Linked DNA regions of Arabidopsis thaliana. The protein of the gene in region 2 purifies or fractionates together with the protein of the main gene of each other region. This does not show direct contact. Each region holds a gene or a part of one and is shown on either strand. Other genes may lie near its edges.

The links. The genes of interacting proteins can lie anywhere in the genome.
Region 1: the proteins of ASP5 (region 2) and ACO3 fractionate together in Arabidopsis thaliana (co-fractionation; one large-scale study listed by BioGRID). This does not show direct contact.
Region 3: the proteins of ASP5 (region 2) and WIN1 fractionate together in Arabidopsis thaliana (co-fractionation; one large-scale study listed by BioGRID). This does not show direct contact.

The regions. Positions count from the first base shown.
Region 1 is NC_003071.7:2,138,598-2,148,012, forward strand, and holds ACO3 (aconitase 3), read left to right. Parts: upstream 1-2,731; 5' UTR 2,732-2,993; coding exon 2,994-3,273; intron 3,274-3,366; coding exon 3,367-3,471; intron 3,472-3,548; coding exon 3,549-3,802; intron 3,803-3,886; coding exon 3,887-4,072; intron 4,073-4,249; coding exon 4,250-4,411; intron 4,412-4,576; coding exon 4,577-4,721; intron 4,722-4,814; coding exon 4,815-4,957; intron 4,958-5,029; coding exon 5,030-5,086; intron 5,087-5,173; coding exon 5,174-5,253; intron 5,254-5,338; coding exon 5,339-5,414; intron 5,415-5,545; coding exon 5,546-5,731; intron 5,732-5,813; coding exon 5,814-5,881; intron 5,882-5,973; coding exon 5,974-6,092; intron 6,093-6,204; coding exon 6,205-6,326; intron 6,327-6,437; coding exon 6,438-6,536; intron 6,537-6,615; coding exon 6,616-7,095; intron 7,096-7,182; coding exon 7,183-7,281; intron 7,282-7,363; coding exon 7,364-7,606; intron 7,607-7,684; coding exon 7,685-7,753; 3' UTR 7,754-8,081; and 1 more. Other genes in the region: AT2G05720 (Transducin/WD40 repeat-like superfamily protein), read left to right, coding at 8,595-9,030, 9,224-9,415. UniProt on the Arabidopsis thaliana protein: Catalyzes the isomerization of citrate to isocitrate via cis-aconitate. Contributes to oxidative stress tolerance. Modulates cytosolic citrate metabolism during lipid mobilization. Required during seedling growth.
Region 2 is NC_003075.7:15,469,190-15,476,296, forward strand, and holds ASP5 (aspartate aminotransferase 5), read right to left. Parts: upstream 4,665-7,107; 5' UTR 4,483-4,664; exon of another isoform or gene 4,359-4,482; 5' UTR 4,333-4,358; coding exon 4,273-4,332; intron 4,181-4,272; coding exon 4,130-4,180; coding exon of another isoform or gene 4,114-4,129; intron 4,007-4,113; coding exon 3,812-4,006; intron 3,738-3,811; coding exon 3,699-3,737; intron 3,615-3,698; coding exon 3,525-3,614; intron 3,428-3,524; coding exon 3,319-3,427; intron 3,234-3,318; coding exon 3,124-3,233; intron 2,917-3,123; coding exon 2,773-2,916; intron 2,681-2,772; coding exon 2,514-2,680; intron 2,376-2,513; coding exon 2,111-2,375; intron 2,017-2,110; coding exon 1,894-2,016; coding exon of another isoform or gene 1,885-1,893; exon of another isoform or gene 1,723-1,884; coding exon 1,687-1,722; 3' UTR 1,572-1,686; downstream 1-1,571. Other genes in the region: AT4G31980 (PPPDE thiol peptidase family protein), read left to right, coding at 1-15; AT4G31985 (Ribosomal protein L39 family protein), read left to right, coding at 742-744, 899-1,002, 1,129-1,177; AT4G32000 (Protein kinase superfamily protein), read right to left, coding at 4,894-5,031, 5,132-5,221, 5,311-5,429, 5,712-5,814, 5,942-6,038, 6,134-6,197, 6,354-6,486, 6,569-7,068. UniProt on the Arabidopsis thaliana protein: Amino acid aminotransferase important for the metabolism of amino acids and Krebs-cycle related organic acids. No activity with D-Asp or D-Ala as amino donors. In plants, it is involved in nitrogen metabolism and in aspects of carbon and energy metabolism.
Region 3 is NC_003070.9:30,297,128-30,303,547, forward strand, and holds WIN1 (HOPW1-1-interacting 1), read right to left. Parts: upstream 3,532-6,420; 5' UTR 3,387-3,531; coding exon 2,973-3,386; intron 2,600-2,972; coding exon 2,165-2,599; intron 2,073-2,164; coding exon 1,548-2,072; 3' UTR 1,335-1,547; downstream 1-1,334. Other genes in the region: WRKY66 (WRKY DNA-binding protein 66), read right to left, coding at 1-29; AT1G80610 (uncharacterized protein), read right to left, coding at 4,077-4,193, 4,315-4,383, 4,476-4,538, 4,788-4,856.

The sequences.
Region 1 (9,415 bases), on a different chromosome or scaffold from region 2:
AATGGTAACTTTTTACTCGATATCACAAAATCCAGTAGATAATATTCAAGAAAATGAAACATGACCACTTTAACTTTTTTTTTTTTTTTATAACACGATGACCACTTTAACTTTTTTTTCTTTATGTGAGAATAATACAAAATAAACCAAATAAATAATACAAAATATGACCATAATATCAAACCTTGCACGATTATTTGATAATGTGATGGTTTATTTGAAATCTACATATACATTTTTGCAGCCACTTTGTGAAATAAATCTTCAAGTTGAGACTTATTTACAGTGGCTGCCACCGGCATTTAATAATTGTTTTTGATAATTAGAAAGTAAATCTTCGAATTAAATATTTGCATTTAACTACCTTTCCAAAATCTCTCTGCATTAACTATACGATTAATTACTAAAATAAAATTTCCAAAATATTTAATATCATTTAAATACTACAAAATTATCATTTTTGATATTGCTTTTTTTTTATGACTATAACAATTCGATTATAAGCAGCAAACCGTAAAGATATTTGATAGCAATTAATTACTACAAAATTATAAAATATTTAGACAATGATTCATAAACATATCATAAATAAGATCAACATTAATAAAATAAATAGTTTTTTTTACGAGACGGGTTGGCGGGACGGGTTTGGCAGGAAGCTACTTAATAACAATTGTAAACTATAAAATAAAAATATTTTATAGATAGATAAAATTTGTAAACTTTTATATATACTAACTTTAAGGAAATAAATTGTCTCCGCGGTATACCGCGGGTTAAAATCTAGTTAATTAGTGTTATCGACTCATGATTAAATATATAGAATTGATATAAACTGAACAAGATTTCAAAAGTATTCATATGAAAAGAATTAAAAAAAAAAGCATAAATTAAAGCAGTATTTAAGTCAATACTTTTAGATCTTCTCTCATTGCATATATCAATATAAGAGAAATGATCGTGTATTAAATTATTTGGTAAGTCTAACGTTTTAAAGGTTTATTATTTGAAAAAACTTGAGTGTCAATGTTATCAAAGACTCAAAATAAAATTACTAAACTAATAAGAGGTTAGGTAACGAACAAGTACAACACAAAAAAATTAGTAAAATAAAAAGAGTATAATAAAAGTAGTGCTTAATTTATTAACATAATTTTTTATTTTATTTTTATCTTGAAAAAATCAATTAAGAGTAGGATTGATGATACATTTAATTTGCTTATTTAATATGATTAATATTTTAATTTAAAAAATATAGAATGACACATGTCATTTTTTTGTGTGATGATGTGTCATTCATATGGAAAGAGTTGGCCAACTTTCATATATATGATTAGATTTCTAAATGATCATTGCCGTAATATTAGTAAAGATGTGTCCAGTGTTTTAGCAATTTTTACCAAACTAATTTTGATTTACATCTTTAATTAAATATTTCATTTATTAATAATTAATGTCAATAGCATGACATTGTAAATAAGTTCAAGTACAAGATTTATTTGTTAAAGTAGCTGAAAAATGTATATGTAGATTTTAGATCTCTAAATAAGATTAACATAAGAAATCTGTATCGGTCTAACTAATGATGAATCGCGAAGGACAACGTTAGAAAACTAATGACGAAAATATGTTCATGAGAATAATATATACTAAACTAATAAGAGGTTTGGTAGCAAACAACTACAACACAAAAAAAAGTCATTATCTAGTAGTGATTATTGATAATAAAAATTTAATAAAATAAAGAGTATAATGAAAGTAGTGCTTAATTTATTAACATAATTTTTTTTTATTTTATTTTGAATCAATTAAGAATAGGATTAATCATACATTTAATTTTAGAGTATTTATAATAAATGACTATAGATTTGAAAAGAATGTACAAACTAACCTTGAGTCACAGTATCTTGTCGGAAACATGTTGGAGAACACTTGTTATTTTCTCTTATTACATAGTATTTATAAAAAGCACATGCTATTTTTTGGAAAAAACATTGTATTCAGTTTAATATATCTTTTTATCATGATATTTTGTAGTAATACACGTTTTTTATTGAGATCACACGTGATTTCTTTAAAAATATTCTTATTTTTTAGTAATACATGGTTTTTATTAAAATCACATATAATTTTTGTTTTAAGATTCTGTTCATGTAAAAGAATTTCATAATAATGTTTTAAAAAAAAAAATTCATAACGTATTATGAAATAGCATGTTTTTAAACTAAATATAACATGTGAAATTTTAATGTTACATGATATTTTGAAAAATTACACGGATGTGTTTCGTTTACTTTTCATCTTACAACAAATAAAGGATAGCTTTATTATTTCCTTTCTTCCGACAACGTGGGTCCATGGTTATTTTGTAACAAAAAACTTTATCTCTGCTAGTTTCTTAATTTGTATGTTTTATTTGGTTATCTACTAATATTACCTTTAATTTTATTATTTTTTAAATTTAAAAATATAGAATGATATATGTCAAACTTTTGTGTGATGCTTTTGTGTGATGGTGTGTCATTCATATGGAGAGTGTTGACCAATTTTCATATATATATGATTATATATTAAGAAACTATATATTACGTTGTCTTTTTCAAACAGGTAAAAATGTTATGAGATTTATTTGATTTTTAAGTAATTATTTAAATTAAAATAAATAAAAATATATATTATTTTAATAATAGGGGCTAAATAGAAATTATGTGGAGGAGAGGGGCTGCGTAGATTAAAATCCAAAAAATACCGTAAACAAAAAAAAATATTCCCTTGCGAGAGAGGGAAGATTGACTTATTGGCACGCAGCCCTAGGCATTTTCGTTTCGTCTCCACACGCCTCTCTCTCTCTCTCGCTTCTTCAATCATTCATCACTCCGACGTCAGATTCAAAATCCTCCATGATCGATCCCAATTGATCAATCAATAACCTTATCTTCTTCATCTTCTCTGTCAGTATCTGAATCTGCATCTGGAAGCGTGATTTCATCATCATGTATTTAACCGCTTCATCTTCCGCTTCTTCCTCCATCATCCGAGCTGCTTCTTCTCGCTCTTCTTCTCTTTTCTCTTTCCGATCGGTTTTATCTCCCTCCGTTTCATCTACTTCTCCGTCGTCTCTTCTCGCTCGTAGATCTTTTGGTACCATTTCCCCTGCTTTCCGTCGCTGGAGCCATTCCTTTCACTCGAAACCATCTCCGTTTCGCTTCACCTCTCAGATCAGAGCTGTTTCTCCAGTCTTAGATCGTCTCCAGAGAACCTTCTCTTCCATGGGTAAAATATCTCGATCTGATTGATCTAGCTTGAGTTTTTTATTCCGATCTCTGTTGATTAGTAGTAACTGTTTTGTGATTATGATTGTTTCAGCGTCAGAGCATCCGTTTAAAGGGATCTTCACTACACTTCCTAAGCCTGGTGGTGGTGAATTCGGAAAGTTCTATAGCTTACCTGCTCTTAACGATCCACGAGTTGGTATGGATTTTTTGAATCTCTCTTTGAATGAGTTTATGAAGGACCTGAGAATCTGAAGAGGAGTGTTGTATTTGCAGATAAACTTCCTTACTCTATTAGGATTCTGCTTGAATCTGCGATTCGTAATTGTGATAACTTTCAAGTTACTAAGGAAGATGTTGAGAAGATTATTGACTGGGAAAAGACATCTCCTAAACAAGTAGAGATTCCTTTTAAACCAGCTCGTGTTCTTCTTCAGGACTTTACGGGAGTCCCAGCTGTTGTTGACCTTGCTTGTATGCGTGATGCGATGAATAAGCTGGGAAGTGATTCCAACAAAATCAATCCCTTGGTATGTTTTTGTTTGCCACAGATTGATGCTTTTTGTTTAGGTTAGGGTTCTTTTAGATTTCTTATGTTATACTGTGTCTCTCAGGTTCCGGTGGATCTTGTGATTGATCACTCGGTTCAAGTAGATGTAGCTCGATCAGAGAATGCAGTGCAAGCAAACATGGAGCTTGAGTTCCAGAGGAACAAGGAGAGGTTTGCTTTCCTTAAATGGGGTTCTACTGCGTTCCAGAACATGCTTGTTGTGCCTCCTGGCTCTGGTATTGTGCATCAGGTAATTCTCTTTTTTAAAGTGTGCGAGTCCATAAGTTGTTTCTAAACTTGTTCTGACATTGATATATATCCTTTTCAACCTCATGTTTCCAGTGTATTGAAATGTTTCTTTTCATTTATTATCTTCTTTTATCTGTCTTGAAGTTTGTCTCAAACTAACCTCATCTTGAAAATTCAGGTCAATTTGGAATATCTTGGAAGAGTTGTGTTCAATACCAAAGGCCTTCTCTACCCAGACAGCGTGGTTGGAACTGATTCACATACAACTATGATTGATGGTTTGGGAGTTGCTGGATGGGGTGTTGGGGGTATTGAAGCTGAGGCAACAATGCTTGGCCAGGTAAATTATTTTGATTATTTACATGACGCACATCAGATGTTGGTTAATCTGGAGTCAACTTTACTGAATTTTAGATTAGATCACTATATTTTATGACTCTTCTGCTCCAATACAGTGAGGTTTGTGAATTTTTCTTATACTGATAACGCTTTTTTGGTTTGACAGCCCATGAGTATGGTATTGCCTGGTGTTGTTGGATTCAAACTTGCCGGAAAAATGCGTAATGGTGTAACAGCTACTGATTTGGTTCTAACAGTGACTCAAATGCTGAGGAAGCATGGCGTTGTTGGAAAGTTTGTTGAGTTTTATGGTAATTATATCCTTGTGAGCTCTTAAGTGTTTTGCTCTTTTATAATAGACATGTGTTTGTTGGAGCATTATAAGTCTACTTTTTTCTTCTTAGGTAATGGCATGAGTGGGCTGTCCCTAGCTGACAGGGCGACAATTGCCAATATGTCTCCCGAGTATGGTGCAACCATGGGCTTCTTCCCTGTGGATCATGTTACTCTACAATATCTCAAATTGACTGGAAGAAGCGATGAGACAGTGAGTGTTTGACTTTAATCTTCCTTCTATATATATTCAGATATCTGGTCTGATACAATACTTTCATGGCAGGTGGCTATGATTGAAGCATATCTTCGGGCTAACAATATGTTTGTTGACTACAATGAGGTAAATTAGCCTTATACTTTCTTTCTTTTTTTGTTTCTTAATCTCCTTTCAGGTTTTTATTTGACTTTGCTTGTGAATAAATTTCAGCCTCAGCAAGACCGGGTTTACTCGTCATATCTAGAACTGAATCTGGATGATGTTGAACCTTGCATTTCTGGACCAAAGCGGTATGGGTTCTGTTGGTTTTTGTAATCGCGAAGTTTATTGTCTGAATAATTGGTCATGACCATATTATTGATATCTTCTTTGCAGGCCACATGATCGTGTTACTTTGAAGGAAATGAAAGCTGACTGGCATTCATGTCTTGACAGTAAAGTTGGGTTCAAGGTATGTAACTGGATGTTTCACTTTGTGGATGTCTAATCTCTTAACCATTTACTCGTTCTATAGACTGGGTTGTTGGTGCACATTTTGGAAATCAATGTTTATTTCTGAATATTGCTATTCATTCTCCGCAGGGTTTTGCTATACCTAAAGAGGCACAAGAAAAAGTGGTAAATTTTTCGTTCGATGGACAACCAGCAGAGCTTAAACATGGAAGTGTGGTGATTGCTGCAATCACAAGCTGTACTAATACATCAAATCCCAGCGTCATGCTTGGTGCTGGTCTTGTTGCAAAGAAGGCTTGTGACCTTGGGCTACAGGTTGGTTTCACGAGAGCAAACTAGAAATCTATCTGATGCCTCGACATTTTCTGATCCCTTTTTCAAAAACTTGCCTCTGTAGGTTAAGCCTTGGATAAAGACAAGTCTTGCTCCAGGCTCAGGAGTTGTTACAAAATACTTATTAAAGAGGTATGTCGTATTTTTATCTAGTTCTTCGTTGTTAAAGGCTAATTCTTTCTTATGTGATGGTAAATTTAAGTGTAACATCTTACTCCATGCAGTGGATTGCAAGAATATCTGAATGAACAGGGTTTCAATATTGTCGGCTACGGGTGCACTACATGCATCGGGAATTCTGGGGAAATTAATGAATCAGTGGGAGCTGCTATTACCGAAAATGGTATTATTGAGATTCCCAACTAAACTTACTTTGGACTTTCCATCCTTTATATTACTATTATATATAAGTAAGTAGCTGATTTGTTTTCAATATTTGTGTTGCTTGGTTTTAGACATTGTGGCGGCTGCTGTGCTATCCGGTAACAGGAACTTTGAGGGGCGTGTTCATCCACTAACAAGAGCCAATTACCTTGCATCTCCTCCGTTGGTGGTTGCCTATGCTCTTGCTGGCACGGTAATAAATCTTGAGAACTTGTCAAAGTTCAACTTACATTTTGTATGAGATAATGACACATGACTGATTATCACATTGGTAATTTTGGCGTTCTTCTTTCTTATTTTCCAGGTTAACATTGACTTTGAAACGGAGCCTATTGGCAAAGGAAAGAATGGCAAGGACGTCTTCTTAAGAGATATCTGGCCAACCACGGAAGAAATTGCTGAGGTATATACGACTTAACCAGAGAACAATAACATCTTTTTTATACACAAATATTAAACTAATCTTTTGACATATGGATCAGGTTGTTCAATCCAGTGTTTTGCCTGACATGTTCCGAGCAACGTACGAGTCAATCACCAAGGGTAACCCCATGTGGAATAAGCTGTCTGTTCCTGAGAATACCCTCTACTCATGGGATCCCAACTCAACTTACATTCACGAGCCTCCATACTTCAAGGACATGACCATGGATCCTCCTGGTCCACACAATGTGAAGGATGCTTACTGTTTACTCAATTTTGGGGACAGTATCACCACTGATCACATCTCACCAGCTGGAAACATCCAAAAGGACAGTCCTGCTGCAAAGTTTCTCATGGAGCGTGGCGTTGACCGTAAGGACTTCAACTCATATGGAAGTCGCCGTGGGAATGATGAAATAATGGCCAGAGGTACTTTTGCTAATATCCGTATCGTTAACAAGCTCATGAATGGTGAAGTTGGCCCTAAGACTGTTCACATTCCATCTGGAGAGAAGCTCTCAGTCTTTGACGCTGCCATGGTTTGTATTTATCTAATTAAAATTTGTATTACTGACTGTATGTTGATCATGTCGAATGTCTCCTTATCATAATGTCAAATGTATCAGAGGTACAAGTCATCTGGTGAAGACACAATTATTCTGGCTGGAGCTGAGTATGGAAGTGGTAGCTCACGTGATTGGGCTGCCAAGGGACCCATGCTACAGGTTTAGAACCGCTTCTCTAGTTTCTTTCCGCATAAACCAATCTTACTGTTTTATTCTGAAACAACAAGTTTGGGATTGTCAGGGTGTTAAAGCGGTGATTGCAAAGAGTTTTGAGAGGATTCACCGAAGCAACTTGGTGGGAATGGGAATCATCCCATTGTGCTTTAAGTCCGGTGAAGACGCAGATACTCTTGGATTGACTGGTCACGAACGCTACACGATCCATCTCCCAACCGATATCTCAGAGATAAGACCTGGCCAAGATGTTACCGTCACTACCGACAACGGAAAATCTTTCACTTGCACAGTCCGCTTCGACACAGAGGTAACTAAATACTCCAATCTTTAGTGAAAAAAAGCTTTTCAATGTGAAGGAACTAATAATGGTAAAATAAATGTGCAGGTGGAATTGGCATACTTTAACCATGGAGGCATACTTCCATATGTTATCAGAAACTTGAGCAAGCAATAGTGAAGGAAGCAATACACAAGTTATGGAGCAAAATAAAAGAGTGTTTGTTTCTGTTTTAAAATGTCTTTTTTAAAAGGCAGATAAGTCTGTCTAGGATTAGGTTAAAAGGTGAGTGATCTCATGCAATATATGAGTTTCAGTGGGTTATTCTTACACGCTTAGGCTCCCATGTTTCGCAACTTGCAAGAGTTGAATATTATTGTTTTTGAAAAGGAATAAGAGAGCCTTCTTGCATATTCCCATTACTGACTCCCAAAGACCTCGCAATCTGTTGCATTTCACAAGCGTATTCAGCAGCATCTATACCAATTCTCAGATCATGTTCAAGAACACCTGCTCTATTCAAATCTACTTGCACCATTAGAGTAACCAACTAATACATAAGAAACACAAACATCTTGCAGCTGAAGCCTAAAACCAATACAAGAATCTGATAAAACCAAACTGAAACTTGTCATAAATTCCATATGAACCTGAGAGTAATCTCCTGTGTCTGAATGAAGTAACTTGCCAGCATCTTCTTCCATATGAACCCTAGTAATACCAAAATCTCCTATGTCCACCACCAAACTCAAGAGGAATATCCAAATCTGATAACCTTGAAGAAGATCTGGATAAAAATACTGCTTCCTATCGAATTTAGACTTAAGAGACAAATCACAATTCAAAGCTAACCCCAATAACCCACTTTTTTAATAGATTTCCTTTCTTTCTTTCTGATCCATCTCGTTTACTTTGCTATAAATAAGAGCTTTGGTAAGCCAAACCTTCTTGTCTTCTAAGTGAACTAGTCTTGTCACGAGCTTCTTCTAGATCTTGTTTCAAAAGTTTGTTTATACCAATGGGTCCAACAGAGCTTAGAGAGGCTAGAATAGAAATTACCAAAGATTTTATAAAGAGAGCTGCTCTAAGGATTCAGCGTGAAAATCGGCGAAGGAATGATCCAGATGAAGATAAAAATGCTGAGACTAAATTGGCTTTAAAGCATTGTAAAGACATGGTTCTTGGTTCTAGTAAATTTGGGGATGATCGTCCTCTTACTGGTTGCTCCTTATCACGAGATGGAAAAATACTCGTCACATGTTCTCTTAGTGGGGTTCCTAAATTGTGGGAGGTGCCTCAAGTTACAAACAAGATTGTTGTCTTGAAAGGTCATAAAGAACATGTAACTGATGTAGTGTTCTCGTCTGTGGATGATGAATGTCTAGCAACTGCTTCTACTGATCGAACTGAAAAGATATGGAAAACGGATGGAACACTTCTACAAACTTTTAAAGGTCATTCAGATCGTCTTGCACGCATTGCATTCCACCCGTCATAGTCGTAGTGTTGAGATGCCTCCGGACAACGAGTTTTGATAAAACATGGAGATTGTGGGATATAAACATAGGAGTTGAGATGCTTTAACACAAGAAGGTCATAGTCGTAGTGTCTACGGAATTGCATTTCAACAAGATGGATCATTAGTAGCTTCTTCGGGTTTTGATTCGCTTGCAAGAGTTTGGGATCTTCGTACGGCTAGGAATATTCTTATCTTCCAAGGACATATCAAACAGGTTCTCTCGGTGGATTTCTCTCCTAATGGTTATCATTTGGCATCTGGTGGTGAAGATAATCAATGCCGTATTTGGGATCTACGGATGAGAAAGTTGTTGTATATTA
Region 2 (7,107 bases):
ATCTTGGCTCTGTAATAAGTCTATTGGTCAATAAAACTAAACATTTGGCTCTGTATCTTAATGTGTCAAAATTATCTTTGGTTTCACAATGATCCATGAGATGGCACTGCTTAAAAGAACCAGTTGGTGTAGAAGTGACACTAACAACAGTTCCAGGCAAGATACGCAAACAAAGAAATTATATAGTAAATAACTAAAGTGACTAAAACTGATGCTTGAAACTAGGATTGGAACCTATTAAGCACACAATGTACAATTGCAAGAAGAAGTAGTGTGTTTTTAGAGCCTACAGATGTCAAAATCAGTGATAGAAAAGAACAGCTATTTGTTTCACAGACATGTGAGACATAAAGCTTGCTCTAGGATCAATCACGTCCTACGAGCAAGTACAAACATTTGTAAATCAATAAGAGTACAAAAGGTTATATCAGAGCTTTCGTAGAACAGCCATTTCCCCCAAAATCTTACAACAGGAAATTTCGTTGTAAGAAATGTTGACTTCTTGAGTGTAGAAGTGTCAAACTTGGGAACGTGACCAATAAAAAATTGACGTTTCGCTACAAGACTAAAAATCATGGGCCTTGGGCCGAAACATGAAACCTAAAAAGACTGTTATCACATAAAAAGCCCAATAAAGAAGACTTTACTAGGGTTTCATCGTTTTAACTTCTTAAAAAGGTTAGTCGCCTCTTCTTCGTATTTTTTGCCTCGCTGAGCAGCTGCGAATCTCACGACTTCAAGATGGTTAGTCTCGCTCTCTCGCAAATTTTTAATCTTTGTTACAATCGTTTGTTAGTTTCGCCTGTTTGGATTGATTAAAGAGTTTGATTTGTTGTTAGTTAGATATCGAAACGAAATTAGTGATTTTGATTTGTGTTGGAAAAATGAAATGTAACAGCCGTCGCACAAGTCGTTTATGATTAAGAAGAAGTTGGGAAAGAAGATGAGACAGAACAGGCCTATTCCTCACTGGATTCGTCTTCGTACCGACAACACCATCAGGTTCGACTATTCTTGTTTTTTTTTGTCTATTGTTTATTCCCTGATCTATCAAATTGAAGATATATTTAGTTGTGTTAGTTGATCGATTTAGTTCTAAAACTGATTTCATTGTGTGGTTAATTTCAGGTACAATGCCAAGCGCAGGCACTGGCGTAGAACCAAGCTCGGATTCTAAGTGATAAGCCTTCTAAAAGAGTCTTCTTTATCTGTTTGGTTTAGCATTTCCTCAAGTCTTCTTTTTGTTTTAAGTTATGACATTTTCATATTTCTGTAAGACTTTTACTCTATTATGATTCATGTTACCAAATTTTCTTCGTATTGGGAGTTGTTTCTTAACATTTGTGTGATTTGACTATTGAAGTATCTCTTGGTTTGCTTCCATGTAGAGTTGTTTCTTAAGAATTTTTTCTCGCAACCTAGAATCTGGATTGGGTTTAAATTTAATCATCTACTTGCGAACTAGAAGCTTTAGAATTTCTTGCTAGTAATTGTACTGGTTTTAATATCTAGTGGTTTTGAATCTTTTGATAATGTGATAGTGAGTCGATGCTTCTTATAGCAGACAATGTGGAATTGCACTGGTATTAAGATAGATCACACTGTACAATCTGATCATTTCTGTTGTAACTCTTCCGGTCAAGTATAGTTGTGAAATTATGTAAAATACAATCGTAACAAGTTCTTCTATAACTCGATGGGAGTCTCCCAATACAACAAGGCCTGTCAAACACGATCAAATCAAAAGTTTCCTTGAAAATTGTCTAGCAATCATAGTGTGATGCTAGCTTATTAATTTAGCCATCTGGTTTCAATCAAAGATCAAGAAGAAGCTAAAAAGGGTATATAAAACTGTTTCTTATTGTCATCTACTGAGATGGAAGCTCAGCTTACGTTATGGTATGAGTCGATGATCGCATCAGCAAGATACTCGCATTTGGCCAGAGATAATCCGGCCAATGATATCCTCCCGTCTTTAGTCATATACACATGCCATTTGTCCGTCATGTTATCGCTCTGCTCGTTACCAAAAGAAAACAGCACAAACTTCAAACCACAAGTCTAAACAAGGCCAAAGGGAATCTGTGTAGTATTAAAATTGTTGGCATACCTGAGCTTTGTTTAGGCCGGTGAAAGAGAACATGCCAATTTGCTTCAGAATGAAGGACCAGTCCTTCCCGCTCTTGTCTTTTGAAACGAGGCTATCATACAGCTCTTGTCTAACCGTCTTTATTCTTCCTGCCATCATTTCCATCTCTGCTTTCCATTCACTGAACATAGTTACATCACCCACTACATTGGCCACGATTCTCGCCCCATGAACTGGTGGATTCGAGTACATAGGCCGAGCAATCCTTTTCAACTGGCTCTTGACCCTGAAAGCAAGTAGTGTTACTGGTAAAGGTTCCATAAAACCTGTAGCTAGATATGGTTCGTGACGGTAAAGATAGAAACTGAGACTCCAGGATCACTTGCAACAGGCTCATGATAAGAAAATTTAGAGTAAGTTTTACCTTGTAGCAGCATCAGCTGAGGAGCACACGACATTGATTGCCCCAATTCTTTCTGCATACAAACCTAAATTTTTACTATATGACTGAGCAACAAAAAACTCCATTCCCCGCTCAGCAAATAATCTCACAGATGCTGCATCTTCATCAAGGCTTCCACTAGCAAAGCCCTGGAAAATAGGTGCATGTAGCGTTACATAATATGGTTTCGCTTACTTCTCTCGGAAACACGATATTCGGAAATGTAGGAATAGGGGGATACCTGGTATGCAACATCGAAAAATGGGATATGGTTCTTTTCCTGAATGACATCAGCAATTTTTACCCACTGTTCTGGTGTTGGGTCAATTCCAGTTGGGTTGTGAGCACATCCGTGAAGCAAGATGAAGGATCCTTCTGGAGCTTCCTGTACATTTTACATAACAGAAATTCAAGATTAACCATTATAATCCATCAGGGTTTCACGTTGTCTTTAAACAAGTACTCGTTTTATCACACAGACAGTATAACTGCAAACAAATACTCACTTTGGCATCACATAAATGATATCCTGTTTGTTGATGCATATATAAAGCAATGTCAACTAAAACATAGCCTTCTAGGACAAACAAACCTTTATATCTGCTATCATTCCCTCAAAATCCAAACCAATTGTTTTTGGATCATAGTAGCGGTATTCGGACCACGGAACTTTGGCATCATTGAAGATATTCTTGTGATTACCTGATGTGGTATTTTGTACAGTTGATAAAGGCGGTTAAATATGAAACCAAATCACTCAAAAATGTTTGTGGTCAAGACAATGTACCCCAGGTTGGTGATGAGATCACAACTTTTGCTCCAGGGAAATAACGCTCTATAAGAGCCGCTGCTAATCGCAGTGAACCTGTTCCCGAAAGACCCTGAATTGTTGCTACCTGGTGATTTAGAGCCAAGGTAAATGGATTAGCTCAGAAACAGGAACATCATGAGAAAACATTTTAATAACATGATGAACAAAAGATGCAGAATTACTCTTTGTTCCTTAATAACAGGATGACCAGCTCCAAATAGCAACTCAGCAGTAGCCTTGTTGAATGCTGCCAACCCCTCAATTGGAAGATACTGCAAGTTCCATCCATGTGAGGTATAATTTAGTGATATTCTGATGATGTAATCGCTTGCACAATTTGAAATAAACCAAGTTACCTCTTTGTTATCTCCTCTCTCCAACATCAAATTCTCCGCCTAGAAACGACAAGTAATGAAATTAACTACATGAAAAGAGCCATACGAGATTAACTAGAGTTACAAGTTCCAACCTTTTTAACAACATTAAGCACATAAGGCTGGAGTTCCTCAGTACGATAAGCACCAACACCAAGATTGAGTTTCATCCCGTTAGTGTCAGCTTTGAATGCTTCACTGACTCCAAGAATAGGGTCTGGTGGAGCCATAGTTATACCCTCGAAACGAGAAGGCTTCACTGCAACCGTCATAGTCACTCTGCTAAAAGACTGAAACCAAAATCCACAAATTTCAGATACAAACTACACTTATTAGACTAATAACACTCTAAAACGTCATTCAAAATTGTTCATATGGTTCAGATTCGAGCACTAACAAAGAAAAGAGAGTACCTTTGCTTTTAGGAACGGGTTCGAAGCAGAAGTTCCAAGCTTTAGCTTATCCTGTTCAAGTTTAATCGAAAACAAAAAAGTAAGATTTTGAATAAACTGATGCGTAATTTCTACCATATACTCGATAGAACGGCGAAAAGTACCTTGTTAATCTCGCGCGGTAACAGAGAAGTGGAACCGAGAGATAACATTAAAGAAGCCATGGAATCGCTATGGAGCACAAAATTAACTGCACAGATCTCAAATCAGTGAACTAGTGCGAGGATAAGCAATTCCAAAAATAAGACAATGATGTGATCCACAAAATATGATCACGAGACTTTGTGAGTATTTTAGCAGAGCTGATTTGTCACCTGGACTTGGTTAGAATCGCGCGGTTTCGATAACGATCAGATCGAGAGATTGAAGAAAAAGATTAACAAGGATTCAACGAGAGAGAGACACGACGATGTCTACGAAGTTGTTCTCACTTCTCAGGCTTGTCTTGATAGGGGTAAGATAGTCATTTAGGATTATGTTTAAAAGTTGAAAGAGTGGATGGATGGATACTAGTGGATTGTGATTAGTGGTTCATGCAACAATTAATTGAATATTTACACTTAGTGACAACACAATTTATATATTAATCAATTTACAAATACAATAATGACAAGTGAATACCCTTCTGTCCTCACATTTTTCACCCCCAAATTAAATTACTCAAAGCAATCAGAGATCAAACTGTAAAATTCAAAAAAAGAAGCAAAAAATATTATTTTCTTAAATCAAGACGATGATGGTATTAACCGGAGAGTCCCTCCTAGCTCTACCGGAACCAATGGAACTAGTGAGTGAAGAACATCGGTTATCAACGGTCGATAACTCGGTTCTGGTTGTACACAAAGCACTGCCACGGCTGCCACCTGAACAATTTATTTCCGGTTTTATTTACGTTTCAACACAAAAAATATGTAACCAATCGGATTTTTAAGCCTAAACACAAAGACAAAAGATGACGCAAACCTGGTATAAGTGCTTATGATCCATTGTATCTTTGATAACCGGATCCACGATTTTCGGAAGCTTTGATCTATCCGTAAGTTGGGGCATTGCCTGCAAATTTTTCGAAACGGTACACTCATTAACCAATGCTATCTGATTCATGTATTGATGGCAATAACGTCAACACAAACCGGACTTACCCAAGTGACAAGAGATTGACACTGAACCGAACTCAATTTCTCAACCGGCCGTCTTCCTAACAAGAGTTCAAGTAAAACCACACCAAACGCATAAACATCACTCTTATCCGTCAATTTTCCTGAGGGACATAAAGATGTTGCAATGAGACAAACTCAATAAACCGGTTTAGCGACCCAACAACTACCATCTCTAATCAAATAATGATTTCTATGTGTGATTAGTTGAAATAATACATCAACAAACAAAATGATTTGATTTAGAACAACAATTTTAGACGTAATGAAAGAAACTTAATGTTATGGGGTCACATGATTATGACTATCAAACTATGTGCTATAACTCTAGTGATATGACAACGAGTCAAAGTCGATCAATATAGAGGGAAATGTTAATATTTTACCATCTAGGAGATATTCTGGAGCAACATAACCAAGTGTTCCTGATAGTTTAATGTTGTTTTTGCCGTGAGCCCCCACCATTACCGCAAGACCAAAATCCGAAATCTGAATGTTGATCTATCGTTAGAGATGGAACTAAAGACAAATGAATGAAATGATTCTTGAATCAACGAAACAAATCTTGTTCGGTTAGCTCAGAACAGAATCATCATTAATGATTCAAGTTGTTTACCTTGGCGTTGAAGGAAGAATCAAGGAGAATATTTGACGATTTAAGATCTCTGTGGATAACCGGAGGACGACAACGCTCGTGGAGATACTCAACAGCTCTATTTCCAAACCAACATAAGAAAACGGTTTACCTAAACCGAAATTAATCAACCGGTAGAGAGGATTGTTAAATGTGGGCACTTGAGTGTAGTACCTTGCTGTATCAAGAGCAATCTTCATCCGCATGTGCCATGTTAAAGCCGATCCCCGAGAAGGTCCTTAACCATTAATGATGCAAACATTAAATTTTATCAAAACAAAAATTATTTATTTCATGTGGGCACATGATTTGTTTTATCTCTGTTATACTATAGTATTAATTTAACTCATGATCTATTACACGATGATGAGAAGATGTTTTGAGCTATTTTTACCGTGTAACTGTGTATCCAATGATCCGCTTTCCATCAGCTCGTAGACGATAAAACTCGAACTGAGTTCATTTCCATATCCAAACAATGAGATGATGTTCGGGTGGTGAATCTTGCTCAACAAATCAACTTCATTCTGAGATTTAGATGATAAAATCAGATATCAAGAATCCGGTAAAAAAGTAAAAATGATTAGTACTTGTGTTTTGTTTTGGTACCTGAAATTCTCGTTTTGCTTCTTGACTAACGTTTTCGATCTTTTTGACTGCTGCTAGAGTGTTGTTGCCTAAACAGGCCTTGTAAACATCTCCGAACCCGCCTCGTCCTATAAGATTACCGTCTTTGAAACCGCCTGTTGCTTTCTCTAGTGTCTTGTAATCGAAGGACTGCACAAAGCCCTTCTTGGATAATGAAATCCTACTCTCACCTTCTTCCGCATGAAACCATTTAGATATCAAAACAGAGAGATCACAATGAAGAAACTGATACAGAATCTTGTTACAAATGTAAAGTTTTGCAGATTTGTTCTCATTCTTAATGTTAAGATGATTATTACCTGAGTTCTTGGTGTTTTTGGGAGATTTCTTAGACCAATAAACCCAAAAGCATAAACAAGATACAAGTATTAGTCCTAGAGAAGATGAGGTGATTATGAGAGCGATTAGAAGTTTCTTGTGTGCATCTAACTTGTGTTCTTGGCCTTTGCCCATGTGGATCCCTGAAATCAGAAATCAAACGCTTGAGCTAATCTTCTCAC
Region 3 (6,420 bases), on a different chromosome or scaffold from region 2:
ACAGCCTTCGCATCAATCTCAAGAGACATATTTTCTGTTTAGGATAATTCAGGTTAATCTGTTATTAGTTTATATAGAGATCAGCAAAGGTTTCTACTTCTAGAGACATAAAACATTGTTTTCTTTTTAAAAAAAGAAAGTGGAAAGTGTAGCCTTATCGAATAAACTATCCACAAAATGTGTAAAGTGTAAACGCAATAAAAGTAACTTGGCGCCATCAATGTTGACATTTGGTAATTCACAAACGTGTGACGAGACGACGTAGTTGGAAGGTCTTGTGCGATTGTTAGCCTTTAAACAATCAATAACATTAACAAGTTAAGGGACACTTCAAAGTAGCCAGACAGCTTGAGGTCAAGTCTAACTAAGGAAGGCACCTTCCTCTCACCTAATCCAACAGACTAATTATATTTAATACACATCTTGGTCTGTTGGACATGAATCCCATGGAATATCTCTAGGTAGTTATTAACCTGGATATAGAAGCTGGGTGCATAAATCATTGGATCATGCTTTTTGATGAATAGTGAACCATAGGACTTGTTTCTACAGAAGAACTTAGGAACTTGGTATTATATAGTGTAGCTGAAACTGAAAGCTACAAGATTTGAATAAGTAAGTTCTACATATACACTAACACAGTCATACATACATGTGTGTGTGCGTCAATGTGTGATCCCATAAGTTCCGCTTTGTAGCATTACAATTTTGGTCTTCCGTAGAAGCCGCAACGATTGTAACACCTCGCAATTCATGATTATCAATAATTTCAGCTAATAACCATGTATTAGGCAAGTGTCCGCCACAAAAACAGAGAAGAACAATAACTCTGTTCGTTAACGTTAGCCATAAAACAGACCGTAACAAATAGCGAAGCAGAGCATGTGCTCTGTTTTTTTGCTTTGTACTCATTACTAACCTTATAGGAAATCTTCTCTTGCTACACCTGTTTATTTTCATCAATGCTAATACTATATTACATACCAAAACCCTACCCCTGCAACAGTAAAGAACTCCTAATGGCATTATTAACACAGACATAGTGAGAAATCATCCTAAGACCCTCAAAAATCAATCATCTGTAATTAATTAACAGAACTAAACGCCAAAATTCTCGACATTAGTTCAGGATCGCCTAAGGCCCTAATTATCATTTTTTAAATTAGACCCCTAAGATTCTTGGTTGCGACCAATGCATACACTGCCGATAAATTGGATTCACGTCTTTCCAATGCTGGTTCGTTGGATACTCTACCAATATTTCTATCACCGTTATCATCTATGTGCTCTGATTCCTCACGCAGCTCATAACCAGCATGCTATAACGCAAGACGGAAACAATCGCGATAGAGACGTCATCGAACCAACCATGGAAATTATACAAGTATTTAGATTGAACAATTAGTTCATCAAGTTTTGTGTCAAATTTTATTTCTTTTCAATTGTGCAGAGCATCTTTACCGGTACACTTGAGGCTAATTTAAGACAAGATCGAATATAAAACATTAGCTCTTCTTCAACACCACATCATTTCTCTTCCAAGAACTTCAATCAAGCGCAGTCAAATTTTGAGACATGATCTCAACCGCACGTTCGATTTCCTCCTCTGATATAACCAACGGAGGAACAATCCTGACGACATTTCCTTTCCCCGCTGTCAAGATCAGAAGACCCGAATCTCGGCAAGCATCAACCAGTGAGCTTGCCGGCACATCGAGCTCCACTCCTATGATAAGCCCTTCGCCTCTCACTTCCTTCACGTGCGAGTTTCCTCCAAGTTTTTTCACCAACAGGTCTCTAAAGTATCGACCTTTATTTGAGACACTGGACAAGAAAGAGGGTTTCGATACTTTATCCATAACTGCAATGGCTGCACTGCACACAAGAGGGCTGCCTGCAAATGTACTTCCATGATCTCCGTAGTTTATGGTCTCTGCAACCTTTTCAGTCACCAGCACCGCTCCAATAGGTAAACCACCAGCTAAAGGCTTTGCAACCGTCATTATGTCAGGAGTCACACCGAAGGCTTCATAAGCCCACATGAGACCCGTTCGACCCAAACCACATTGAACCTGGGACAATGAACCCAGTTGAGGCAAGACCAATCAAAAAACAGAAACAAAGAAAGAAAATAAAATTTTGGATGGACGGTAGAGTATATTACCTCATCGAAGACGAGAAGAGATCCAGCGGCATCACAAGCAGAGCGCAGAGATTGCAGAAACTCTTTTGTAGCAGAGTAAATCCCGCCTTCTCCTTGAATTGGTTCCACAAAAACTGCAGCTATTTTACCTGAGCGGATAAGGTCTGTGGCTGCTTGAATGTTACCATATTCTAAGAAGGTTACACCAGGCATGATGGGTTCGAAAGGAGTTCTGTATTGTTCTTTGCTTGTCAAGGCAAGAGCTCCTAAGGTTCTTCCATGGAAGCTGTTTGTAAAGGCGATGAAACCTGTCGCGACTTCTTTGTCTTCTGGATGGGTGAATCTCTGGAATTTTCTTGAAAACTTAATGGCTGCTTCATTGGCTTCCGTTCCCGAGTTACAAAAGAATACACGGTCTGCAAAAGAACTCGCCACCAAGCGTTTTGCGAGCTCTATCTGCAGAGAAGTTCAAACATTTCAGATTTTAACAACCCATATGAAGTAGATATGAGCATAAAGGTTCCTTTTTTCGAGGAATTGGGCATTGAGGAGCATATGTACACTAAGAGTTTACAATGAGGTCAGATACTTCTCATAAAAATTTCTATAGGGAAGGCGTAGAAACAATCCAATTTGATGAAATTTCAAAGTGCAAGTACTTGTCATAGAATAATCTCGCTATTATAAGTAGAAGACTAATCCAACATTCCCTAGCATGTTTCCATAGGCCATAGCTCAATCACACAGAGGATAAAAACAACAAAAGTTTTAAGCTTTCGTCAGCCATCAACAGAATCAGTAATGCAAAAATACAGTAACGAATAAATACCTGAGGGATCGTGTAATAAACATTGCTGACATGGGCAAGAACACCAGCTTGCTCAGTGACAGCTCGAAGCCAATCAGGATCTCCATGACCAAGAGCATTCACAGCGATTCCAGATGCACAATCCAGATACTCTTTTCCTTCAGGGTCGAACAATTTACAACCTTTCCCACTCGAGAGAACCACTGGAGCTCGCGCGTAGGTACCCACAATAACTTTGGCTTCCTCTTCAATCACCTTCTGGCTCACACTCGCTTTTACCGACACCGCTTGGTCCCCTGCGTTAGTCAATACGCTCGCAATCCGGCCGTTGAATCCGATCCGGGTTCTGATGATCGGCCGCTCCAATCGACGGCGTAAGAGGCCAATCTCCGACGACGGCGCGCGTGGCAGGGTGATTTGGCTAAGAGACGCCATTTTCGTGTGTCGGGACAATAAAGAGTCGTTAAGACAAAATAGCTGAGATTAATTCTATTTCTAGGGTTTTAAGGCCAGTGATAATTTTACTACTACTGGTTTAGCTGAGCTTAATAAAGAATCTGATTAGTATCTTACTTTTTCCGTAATTACGTGTTTTTAGTATTAATGGTTTGAAATTTCTAAATTATTTATAACGATGAAAAAGAATGCAAGACTGCAGATATTTTTTAGTCCATCAATCATAATACAAAATATAGTAAAATGTTTGGAACGTGTTACACTGATTATAAATGTCGATGTAATACATCTTACCAGAGATAATAAGAAAGAACAAACAAAAAAAAAAAGGTGTACATCTATTATCTAAGTAGATAATTACATCTCATCCTAATAAAATGGGAGAAAGATAAGAATCATTTAGGAGATTGGCAGAACAAAAATCTTACTACCAGCTAAACTAGAAGATATTGTTAACACACTTAACCATAGTCTCGAACCACTTCACCTTCAGGCGAATCTTCTTCAGCTTCCACCGGGATATGGGTGAAGGATATATAGGATTAATCTACGTTCTTCATATTCATATAGTTACAGTTCAAAAAACATGTTTGTGGACGGAGGAGGTATAGTGGTATAGTGTTGTGTAATGGGAAAAACAAAAGAATGATATGCTTGTGGCTCGCCCGTTCAGCAGACAACTTCAGGGCTCGGGTCGTTATCTAGAGGCATGTTTAGGTCAGGGAGCAAGAAGGAAGAACCTTGTTCGAAAGTGAGTTTGCACGATAAGGCAGATTGTGATTCAGCCTGCATACACATGAAAATGATATACTTGAATAATTAACATGTTTATCTTCCGTATATATGATTGAATGAGTACATGTATAGAAAGATAGAGAGAGAGAGAGAGAGAGAGCGATGGGCTCACCTTCATCTTCTTTAGAGCAGTGTTTCTTGCTCTTTGTTGCTCGAGCAAATCGCGCATATTTGCCAATTCCTGATTCAAGAATAAGATTAACCAAATCTAAGATTAGAACTTGGACTTGATATATAGAGACATAAAGAAAGAGGCTAAAATGGAGGTTATACATTTTTCAGGCCGTTACTTTCCTTCAAGAGCATGATCTCTTCCTCTTTAAGCTCAGCCAAAGTCTGTCAACAATCATATATATTAATTAGAGAAATATAGGTTTGAATCGGCTAAAATGTAAAACCATATCAGTCCAAATGTAGAAAATATAAGATTGCTAGGCGTATCTTAGACAATATGCCTCAACAGATTTAAACAAACCAGTAGGTAGTAGCCTGGTCAGAGTTGCTCTATGTCTGGTCTAAAACTAGTAATATTATCTTTTAACAGTATCAGTAACTAATAGAAACACTGTCTTTCGTATTTTTTACCTTCTTCTTTCTTGATCTCTTGAAAAGGGTTGTTGTTGTTGTTGTTGTTATTGCACTCGTTTGAGAAATCTGGACATCAAAACAAAAACAATCAGATTATGGCTTAAGACACACAACACCACCAGATAAAGCCAGCTCAACAATCAATAATCACACCAAACTAATACCGTAAAAACAATTTGTTTTTGTATTGTATATCATTTCTATAAAGAAACCACACACCTACCATTCGAGAGAGACTTTAGAGGCACGATAAGTTGGAAACAAAAGAATCACTTCATCAGCATATTAACAAATAACAACTAGAACTTGGAAATCTAAAAGAAAATTCCAAATCATGTAAATTTCAGCAGTATCTTCTTGGTCAACTACTCAAAAAGAAAAAACAGAAGGGCAAATAAATAAATATATAGAAAAACATAGAAACACGTGAGTGGAGCGTGACTTGGGAGACTTTTAAATATAAAGCGTGTGTGTTTGGTCGTCACATTCACACGTCATGCTTTTCCTTGTCCTCCAACCCCAAACTAGTGTCACGTATTCTCCACACCACCACTTGTCCTTATTATCTATCATCTTTCTATTTTTATTTTATTCTACCCAAAAATTCCATTTCCTTTAGTTTGACGACTTTACTTTGGTTTTCAAATTATAACCCACCGATCAAAGTCAACTTCAAATCAGACAACAATCTTAACTAAACTTTGTAAAAAAAAAAGTAAAACAGGCTAACTCAACAAGACTGTCACCAAGAAAATCTGACGGACGAATCACAGGACCTAATCCGTTGCAACAACTGAGGACTTTGACCACTACTACTAGAGAACGAGTACATACTACTTATTGTCCACTGCGCCACATCTGATAACTGCTCTCCCCACTAAACCCTACCACACACGTACCTAATCCACTCATACTCTAATCTTAAATTCAATTCCACGAAAACGCCTCCCAAATTATAAATAACGCCAGCGATAATCTCTGGCATTGACTAATATACCCTCTATCGTGAGAAGCAGCTAACCTGGTGACAAGGGTTAATTTAGTCATTAGCTTGGTAATGATAATGAATGTGTTTATTTTTTCTCTTTAGCATTGAAGTCTACAACGCTGATTTGACCCAGAAGACCTCTCCCCTCTCCCTTGATGTGAGGGCTTTGTGGTCTTTCCGCAAAGCAGCATAGAGAGAGAGAGAGAAAGATGACTGAGATGCACAAAAGTGGGAAAACGTGACTCTTTTGTTGCCAAAAGAAAAGAGCAAAAAGCAGAGATCACCGAATTTATCACCTGTTTGTTTGAAACTCAAAAACAATCTAACAAGTGTTTCCAAGAAGACAACAAAAGAAATCGAGAAAGATAGATTGAGTTTCTTGGAAAAGAAAAGACTAAAAACATCATTGCCTAAATTGGAGTTGTGTCCACGCTGGGGGTATTTCGGTCAACGAAAAGTCGGTGTACCTACATGATCAGCTTAAGAACACGATCGTGGATCCTAAAATGACCAAAATACCCACAAGCTACCAACTGAAATGTCAAGGGCGTACTCGGTAGTAGATCAGCCCAAACCACAACAAAGACGCTTAAAATTACGTTTTTAAAAACTAAAATCATGACAGTGCAAAACGCCGCATCA